2 linked regions of the Zea mays genome follow. The protein of the gene in region 2 binds, or shares a complex with, the protein of the main gene of each other region. Links are inferred from orthologs where the notes say so. Each region holds a gene or a part of one and is shown on either strand. Other genes may lie near its edges.

Evidence for each region. Proteins that work in one complex are often made in the same cells at the same time.
Region 1: AUGMIN subunit 4 (region 2) and AUGMIN subunit 2-like share a complex: the UniProt entries of both Arabidopsis thaliana proteins name them as parts of the augmin complex. The link is inferred for Zea mays from reciprocal best matches to the Arabidopsis thaliana genes AUG4 and AUG2.

What each region holds. Positions count from the first base shown.
Region 1 is NC_050105.1:64,175,908-64,180,682, reverse strand, and holds the start of AUGMIN subunit 2-like, read left to right. Parts: upstream 1-1,487; 5' UTR 1,488-1,588; coding exon 1,589-1,687; intron 1,688-2,317; coding exon 2,318-2,428; intron 2,429-3,432; coding exon 3,433-3,537; intron 3,538-3,697; coding exon 3,698-3,766; intron 3,767-3,894; coding exon 3,895-4,008; intron 4,009-4,260; coding exon 4,261-4,557; 3' UTR 4,558-4,775. UniProt on the Arabidopsis thaliana protein: Contributes to the assembly of the acentrosomal spindle and phragmoplast microtubule arrays as part of the augmin complex.
Region 2 is NC_050100.1:72,639,167-72,644,098, reverse strand, and holds the start of AUGMIN subunit 4, read left to right. Parts: upstream 1-1,849; 5' UTR 1,850-1,912; coding exon 1,913-2,047; intron 2,048-2,126; coding exon 2,127-2,174; intron 2,175-2,262; coding exon 2,263-2,346; intron 2,347-2,592; coding exon 2,593-2,946; intron 2,947-3,160; coding exon 3,161-3,260; intron 3,261-3,361; coding exon 3,362-3,407; intron 3,408-3,643; coding exon 3,644-3,737; intron 3,738-3,853; coding exon 3,854-3,925; intron 3,926-4,039; coding exon 4,040-4,098; intron 4,099-4,249; coding exon 4,250-4,318; intron 4,319-4,460; coding exon 4,461-4,512; intron 4,513-4,932. UniProt on the Arabidopsis thaliana protein: Involved in microtubules reorganization during spindle and phragmoplast development.

The DNA of each region.
Region 1 (4,775 bases), on a different chromosome or scaffold from region 2:
GTAAAACACTAAATGTGAAATCTTAAAGAGAAGGTAGAGGAAGCAAACTCCCAATGGTGTGTTGATACTTTTATCGAGGTATCTAAAACCGTGCAAGGTTCTAACTAATTCTCGCTGGTGCCCCTACACAAAGGCAAGCCCATGCGAGGGTCAAGCACATAGAGAGTCGCGAACTTTCTCCACGCGCAAGTGGTGCTTCGCTTTCAGCTCCTCTTGGACGCTCCCTGTTGTCATCACTATCGAGCTTTTGGTCGAAACATCATGGGTCTCATCTCCTCTGCTACACGGTGGTAGCCACACCACAAACTCGGTTGTTGTGGTCTCACAAGACCTCACACCACTCGGTACAAGTTGCTACAACTCGTGCAAGAGTCGAGGGGTTTGGAGGTGTCTATTCCTCACTCAATCAACTACGACTAACCTAGAGCAAGCACAATAGCGATCTAACTAACCTAAACACTTTGCAAAGCACCTACGCAATCACTAAGTGATTCTATTAAACACTTGGGGTGTATGGAGCAATGGATATGTGTACCAACTCAATAGCGAGTTTGCTCAACTCTCAACACTCTTAATTTGTCGGTTGTGGTATAGAGCCCAATCCCAAATATATCCGTTGGAGGACAACATCTCCTATGCGTTGCACCGGGCCTGGTCCGGAAACCCTCTCCGTCAGCTAGTTGTTGGTCATCTCGTAGATTCCCTGCAATTGTGCAGAGGTCAGGTGCACCATTGGATAGGTCCGGTGACCATCACGTCGGATGGTTGTTTCTGACTAGCCATCGTCGACCGTTGAGTCGAGGTCCGGTGCGCCACCTGGCTCAGGTGCACGAAAACTGCACCTCTGCGCAAGCGGTCCAGTGCACCTACCAACAACCTAGTTTTCTTGATCTTCATGGACCTTTACTTGTGCTTTCTCGGTCTTGTGTTTTGGACTTTTGCTGAATATTTGTGAGTCTTCTACGGATCATTTGATGTCTTCTTTGAGTGAACTATAAACATAAACACTAGCAATTCTCTATATTCTTCCTAATTGATATGAATAGAGATTTTTATAAAAAAATACCCTTCAACAATTTATTCAAATGATTATCTAAATATAGCCATCTTCTATTTCGAGTTTCTCGCTAGCTAAATATAGGAAACGTGAATACTCTCGAGAGTGCATATAAGATATAAAAAAATATTGGAGATTGAAAATATATATAAAGTGGTTTGTGCGTAATAATATAGATAGTGAAATTTAGAAAGACAACTGAAGATGCTCCCTATACATAGGACTGATTTTAGCTAGTTAGCAATTAACTCTTGTATCCAACAGGTGCTAAATAACATGCAAAGGTGTAAAAATAGTTCGATCAACCAAAGCAATTTGGATTGCAAACAAAACAATGAGCGGCTTATTATGTAAGCAGCAGCCATCTGGGGGTTCAAAAAAACAAATTAGATAGAGCTCGCCGAGCAAGCAAGCAAGCCAACTCGGCCGTCCGAACGAAAGCGAAGCGCGGCCAAACTCACTCGCTAAACGCTCCCGTTCTCCTCCGCCTGCCCCCACCGGCTCCCCTTGTACACGAGCGCCGGAGACGCCATGGCGGCGGCGCAGCCGAAGCCGGCCAAGAGGCTGGGCGGCATGGCGGAGGCGCTCGCCATCGCCGCCGACCTCGGATTCCCCGCCTCTACCACGCAGGTCCGTCACACACTACCGCAACTTCCCGATCTGTTTCGCAGCCTAATCCTGCCGCCCGCCTGGTTTGGTTCGAATCCCCGCGCTTCAGCCGGATCTAGCTTTTTTGGTCCGATCGCGTTACGTTGCGAGGAACAAATTGTAGGGTTCAGTTTGTGGAAGCGGTGGCATCTGGAGAGTTAGATACGAAATGATTGTGAAAATGTATGTTTGGAGGCAAGGGTTGCGGCCGAAATAGTGGCATGAGCGCACAAATTTCGTGTGTTTGGGTGGTGTAGCATCTGGTTCGGTTAATCGAGGCTGCATAAGCTTGCGTCATTTCCTGGAGAGAAATTGTGGGATGGCTCTATATTTAGGATAATCGTTGTGAAGAGTTGTTGATCTTAAGAAACTTTGCGATCTTAGAACAAAATGCGAATACAATGAAAACTCAGCATTGCTGTGTGGTGCTATATCTGTTTCGCTGTTTATTTTCTTTAGATTAGTTGCTAAAATTTAAATTTAGGTTTCTATGCCAACAATACAGAATCTGAACTGGATGCACTGGACACAAGCACACAAAAACTGAGGTGGTACCAATGAACAAATGGCCATCTGAAGCCCTCACTATCCCCTCTGTTTCTCTCATTGCAGGAAGATCAGACTAGCTCCGACAAAAGCGATGATTTGGTGAAGGTTTTGAGGGAACTGACTGTCGTGCAGAGGAACATTGCCAACTTGCAAGTGGAGCTACAGGGAAGAAAGGTGATGTTTTTATATCCAGTTGTTAAGCTTTATATGTTTGCACCAGTTACACACAATGCCAAAGCTTTTCAGTTCCTGTACAACATTTCCATTTCATAATGAAATCCCTTTAGATTCTCTATTGAAGGTGGTCAGATTATGGTCCCTTTTGTAAAGTGTGCCATTTCTGGCTTGGTTGCTCATGAAATGAGATTCTAGGCAGGGATGAGAGACTTCCTAATGAGTTACAGCATTTTGGGGATACAGTATATTCATACGATATATCTACATGTTGACTGTTAGTATGAGCATTACTTTACGTAGGAGTGGTAATGGGATCTAAATTTTACACTATAAAATTTAAGTATCGAATCGGATTAGGATCGAGCTCTATTCCTATACATTTTTGAACTAAAATTAATTAGGGTCCCTAACTTATTGTGAAGAAACATTTAGATCGTGATCTATTACCATCCCTACCTTTACCATGAATATTTGTGGTGATATCAAAGGGAATGTATTTTTTTTCTTTTAATTCCAATTTTTATTTTTTCTAACAATGAATTTGTTAGATGATCACACTTATTGGAACTATGTCTGATACTCTGGTCCTTGAAGAATGATTAAAGATGTCCGCATATCCTTAAGATCTTACGGCTAAATCTTTTTTAGCCTAGTAGTATGTACAATAGGGCAGGTGAGTCCAAGTGGCTCCTTGAGCCAGCCCTCAAACTGGCGACCTGGAGTCGATCCCTGGCGTTGGCACCAGGAGGCCCCTCTGTTGGCCTTGTGAAAAAAGAAAAAAACGATAATGTATGAGCATGTTGATGCCATACTAATATAGTAATGTGGGATTGGAAAAGGAAAATAAGCGTTGTCATAGTGTCTATGTTTGAACCCAGTACTTTCCAGCATGCTGTTTTCCGATAGTGCCATATCCATTTTCTATATCTTATTTTCGTAGATTTTCCTTTGATTCTATGGTATTGTCATAGGTCATATTCATGAAGTTTTGTTTGCCACAGGATGATAAAAACATTGCTCATTTGACTCATGTGAGTGAGATGGAAAAGAAGTGCGAGTCTTTGGCCAGAATGACTGCAATTTTGAAAGATGTAATTCAGAACAAGGTAATATAAGCCACATACCTGCATTGTATTATTCTTGCTTCCTTTCTTGAGTTTCAAGGTTATATGTTGTTTTAGTCAGATGTGTCAAGAGCAGTTACATATGCATTAGCCAGTTGATCACTTGATCTACGTGTCTAAAATTGTGTCTATTGTCTATCAGGATCGTATTATTGCTCGGCTGCAACAGCCTTATTCCCTTGACTGCATACCAGTTGAAGCTGAATACCAGGTAATTTATTTTTGTTCTTGTCTTGCAATTTCTATAGCAATTAGCAAACAACATGATAATGTTGGCCTACCCCTAATGCATTTTCATTGCTTTCTTTTTGCCTGCTTAATGTGCTGATCTCTTGTCAGAAACAATTCTCGGAGCTACTTCTGAAAGCAGCAAGTGACTATGGGGCATTGACAGCATCAGTCGGCGATTTCCAGTGGAGCCAAAACTTTAGGGAATCACCAGCTGTCTGGGGGGTAAGTTAATTTTTTTAATCGGAGTCATAACAAAGTCATCCTATGAATACACTTTCCACTTGTACAAATATATTCATGTTTTTTTCTCATTTTTAGAGATAGTATATGATTTATCATGAACCCATGTCAGGATAACAGTGCATTTTGTTATGTATTCATTGTGACTAACATGCCTTACAACAACTCAAAAATCTTGTACATATGTCCTCTGTCATTAGTTATAGGTTTAAATTCCTCTTTCTCTTAATGAAGGAAATGCTGCGACCGATTCCTGCTGCACTTGCTTCCTGCACCCGGTTCTTCGAGGCAATGTCTGCGATGAGGGAATCCTTTTCTACTCTTCAGAAACTACGCGTTGGCCATTCCTCTCTGTCAATAACCCCAAGTGACTCCAGCGACGATTCAAAGTTCTTGACGCCACCTCAGTGGAGAGACGGCTCGATACTCGATAGCTGGAAGCAAATGGATGACATCAACCTGGAGAGCAGTGGAATTGACGCCATGAATCAGAGGAGGTTGTCTTGGCCCTCCATCAAGAGGGACCCGTAGGTCGCAGGTCACCCATTGGATTTAGGTTCCCATGTTACATAAATAGGATTCCACCTTGTGTAGTTGGCATTGATTCTCTGTATTTTTAATCCGATCACCTGCACCCATTTGGCATGTTCGACTTGTGAGAGATGGTCTATAAGTTCCTTAAATCAATGTCGTGGCAAAATTTGATATGTTTTAGGCCCCTTTGGCAGGGCAACTTTTGCTCTAACTTT
Region 2 (4,932 bases):
TCAAGGCCTGGCAGCCCACGAGCTCCAGCACCCGCAGCGTCTCGCTGGCCACGCTCACCATGGCGAGGCGGGAGCAGCGCTTCAGGCTGAGGCGCTCGAGCGCCGGACAGTTGGCGACAAGGCCCCGGAGCGCCTCGTCGGTGACGTCGACGTGGCTGAGGGAGAGCGAGCGGAGGCCGGCGAGACCCACCGCGGGGAGCGGAATGGCGCGGAGGCTGAACCGACCGAGCGCCAGCCGCTCCAGTGAGTTCCTGGCCTGGAACAGATCGGCGGGGAGCTCCAAGAGCGGCGCCTCGTGACCGGCGTGCGGGACCTCCTCCTCCTCGCCCTCCTCCTCCTCCTCCTCCGGTAGCGGCGGTGCCAAATCCACTTCGACCGCCCTGGCGCCCCTCCGCAGGCCAGCCGCGATCCACCCGATGACGTCTTGCCCGTCCAGATCTGATGGGCAAACCAACGCCACGCATGAGTCTGCTGACCGGTTGGGTGAAGGCAGCCGATGGGGAGGAGTTGGAGGACGACAGTGCGCTGCAGGCCGCCGATGGGGAGGTGGAGTCCGACGGTGCGGTGGGGGAGGAGGTGGAATGCGATGATGGGGTGGAGGAGAGGGAGGGGAGGCCGCCGGAGTTGAGCGCAGTGGAGGAAGCGCGCGAGCCCGTGGCTGGAGCCGCCGGCGGAGATTAGGTCGCGGCCGTCGCTGGAGATTAGGTCGCACGGTAGGCTGCACGCTGGACAGTGGGCTGCACGATGGGATGGGCCTCAGATCTACACAAAAATTATTGGGCCGCACGAACCGCTGCCACATGTGTGTGCCATCTATTTTATTAGTGCCACATTGGCCATTGAGAGTAATGGAACATGGCTTATAAGGGCAGCTGTGGATTCTATGTTGCTCACTAAGAGAGATGGGACGGAACGTTGAGAGAGATGGAACGGAACAGAATGTAGCACATAAACTTGTGCATGTATTGTTTATTTTGTTGCGCGGGACTAACGGAGACAGAACAGCCGTTGGCAGAACGCGTCAGAGGCAGAACACGTCAGAGGCAGACTACTATTGCTTACTTAATAAGTAGTAGAGATATTGATTCCGTAGCAACGCACGAGCTTACACCTAGTCAAATATATATAAGATTAAGAATATAACACAACATTACATTACCTAACATTTAAAATACATATTTAGAATTATATGGCTAAGCCTATGTTAAATCTACAATTAAATCTACAAAATTGTGGTAGTGCTGGTCTGTCTTCTGAACCCGTGATTTGAGACTATCTCGATCCCTATAAAATTAGTGTAAAAACAAAGAATCTTCTGTAGTAATTTAGAAACGTATCATGTGCAAATCTACTTTTTAGTGTAAACCGTGCAAACAAGTGTTTTTTTAAATAACTCCTACTGTGCATTAGCTTCAAAACTTGCGCCAACGTGTTGTTTTGCACTTGATATATTCCAGTAATTTTTTTTGTTAATCACCACTTCCCACTAATGACTGAAAACTACTTTAGAGCCACGGTGGCCTAGATCTATTTTTAACCGGATTGTTTGTGTAATTTATATAAATTTTGATTAGTTGAAACGATTCTAAATGCATTTATGTATAATCGAACATGGGCACATGCCTTACTAAGATCAAACGCTATCGATAATTCGTCGTTTTCTGTTTCAGCATTGTATTGTTTTTTTACCTCAGTTCTCACACGACTACACGAGTGACACCAGCTGGCTTTCACAAGCTTCTCTTGCATTGAAACCATCCGGCCGGCCGCGATCTGACCCGTCCATTTGCCGATCCAACGGCCACCAACCCACCACCACCACCTCACGAGCCCAACCAAATTCAAACCAACGCTACCGTGCAACCAAACCAACCAACCCCATTCCTCCGCCGGCCGCCGGCAGCCGCCCGCGATGTCGAAGGCCGCGGCAGCGTCCCTCCCGCCGCCGCCGCCAGAGGTGGCGCACCTTGTGGAGCAGCTCCAGCGCCACCACCTCGCCCCGGACGCGTCCCTCCTCTCCAGCTCCGCGCACTCCGACCTCCTCCAGGTACGCCCGCCCGCCGCGCCCGCCACCCTCCTCACCCTACCGGCCTACCGCTGCTCACCTGATCCCTGTGCCGGCGCAGGCGCGCGAGGAGGTCGCGGCGGAGCGCGCGCTGTACCTCGAGGCACTGGTGAGTCCCGACTCCCCGCCCGCCTCGTCGGATCCGCATTTTAGGTTTTGCTCGCCGGGTTCTCATCAGATCCGGCGCTGTGCCGTAGGCGGTGTACGCGGAGGCGGTGGCCATGGTGGAGGAGTACCATGCGGCTGCCGGCGCCGGCAAGAAGCTCAACTGCTCCCCGCAGGTTCTGCTCCTCTGTGACGAGTCCTCATTTTAAATTGACTGGTGCAATTGTGCAAATATATCTTCAAATGTGAGTTGGGTGGGCAGTACTAGCTGAACAATAGACCGTGGAATTCCGCACGGTTGGTCAATGGGAATTCCTCATCGTTGGTTCAATTGACTTAGCACCATGTTCGGGAAACTGTCCAGCAAAAATTACATTCTGATTCAGTCGCTGAGCTTTGTCGGTTCTGAACTTCTGATCCAGGTGTACGAGTCTTTGGAGCACCGGTTGGCCGTGGCAGAGGCAGCACAGAGGCTTAGGCTCCCACTGCTCTCTCAGGACGGGGAGGTCCATGAGCAGGAGATCGAAAAGCTGAGCACCTATTCAAGAAGTTCATTCGATAGCACCCTCACAAGCGCGACACCCAGCTCAAGTTCAATCTCGACGAGTTACAACAATTATAGCAGCAGCGCTAGTGCGGTGACTGTTGCTGCTCCACATTGGAGTGGTAGTTCTGATGCAGTTGAACCTGGAGTTGGTGGTGTTCCTGACCGTTTTCTTGGGATCACTTCTGATTATCTCTACCAAGTGCAACAAGAGCAGCCAGCCATGTCTGTTGTAAGAACATTTTTTCGTGCCTAAATGGTCAATTCAAACCTTGTTACTTTTTTTATGTGGTTAACGTAATTCTGGTATATACCTTTAGAAGTGCAAAACTATTCTGTAACCAATTTTAGACTATGTTGCGTTTTATCCTTTTTGTCAATGAGTGAAAGAATAAATAAAATCTTCACCTGAACTTTGAAAGCATCTGCTTTTGTGTTGATTACAGGACATGGTTGATTATCAGAGAACTTTGGCTAGGGAGATTGAAGCCCGGTTAGAAGCCAAGTGTGATGCTTTGGCTGATCTATTTGCTATGGATGAAAGGGGTCAGTTACTGAAACTAGTGGAAGATTAGGAGAGAGGGATGGAGCAGTCCAAATTCTGGTTCTGGTTATTATTCTGTCTTACCTTAACATCTTTGCTGCAGATTCGTCATCCCTCAGTCAAATTTCAAGTGCTAGGCTTCCAGAAAGGTAGACTTTCTTATCTTACATTTTACATCACACTGTACCAATCACCTATTTAATATTAATACCATCTCACCGTCCCTTCTTTGCTGCAATCCCATCCATTTACATAGCCAACATATCTTGGCATGAGTGCCCAATTTTCCATGGAATTGGAAACTCATGTGGAGCTTGTGATATGATGAAGTTGGACAGGCGTCCCTGATAAGTATTCCTCATTTTTTTTACTTCCCATTTGACAGGGTAAAATTAATCATCGAAGAGATAGAGAAGGAAGAGGCACATCTCCTGGAGGACCTTGCTTCAATGGACAGAAAATTTGCTGAACATTATAATGTATGTTTGTATGCCTTTACTAATGCCTATTTTTTCAGAGGTGCACTGACTTTACCTTGGCACAAATTCTTTCTCGCACCTCTAAGTAATTAGCTATGGTTCTGAAAATTCCAAAGGTCTTGGAGCAAATTCTTGCTGTGCTTATACAGTTTGTTAAAGACAAGAAATTGGAGCATCAGCACCAATTTGTAAGCATTCTCATATTCTGTTCTCTGGTTGAACTTCTTCAAAGTAAACATGTCACATTTTCATACTGTTAGTATTATTAGTCGAAGTGTTTAACATGTCTCATTGTCTAACAGGATGATCTGAAGAAGACCTGGCTTATCAAAAGGTGTCGGACAATGAATGCTAAACTAAGGTTGGTACTCGCAACAGTGATCATATTATAAGTGTACAACAGTTGTTACTCTATACAACAGTTCTCTCTCTATATATTTTGAATTCCCTGTGCTAAGGGATTTGAAGATTAGGTTAACTATATATATATATATATATTACTTTGATTCCAGCTATCTGGAGCATCATCTATTGCGTGACACTTACACCAAGGACACAGTACCAGCACTGCACAGGATCAGGTATAGTTAAGGCAATCGATCTTGTAGTGGATATACTTTTTTAGTCATGTTGCACTTGTTATTCATAAGATGGATTTGATTTGTTAGGTGCCTTTGGTTTTCAGCGAAGGACCTTCTTGTAACATATTAACTGCTTTTGCAGGAAGTATCTTGTAGAGGCCACAAAAGAAGCATCCAATTCTTATAATGAAGCGGTAAGATACATGATTTTGCTTCTTGAAATATTTCCAATGTCTGGTTGTATGAACAGCCAAGAAAAAGCTCTCAAATTGGTGGCTACAACTCACGAAGAGTAGAACTGTACAAATCTTAAGAGCCAATGCCTAGCAGCTACTTTTTAGTGAAAAAACAACTAACTGATACCTTGAGGCTGTATGAAGTAGTTAGCATCAAGTTATAATTAATCATTTATGACTAAGCAAAGTCCTGCTTAGGAAGGTTAAATGTGCAAACATGTGACAACCTATGATTTTAATGTTAACCTGCTGCAGTAGGCAATTTAACCTGATGTAGAGTTTATTCCAGTTGCATAAACAATAACCAGACATATGGTATTCTGTATTTTTTCATTTTTAACTACATGTCTGGAGAAAGAACGGTGCCATACTGCCATC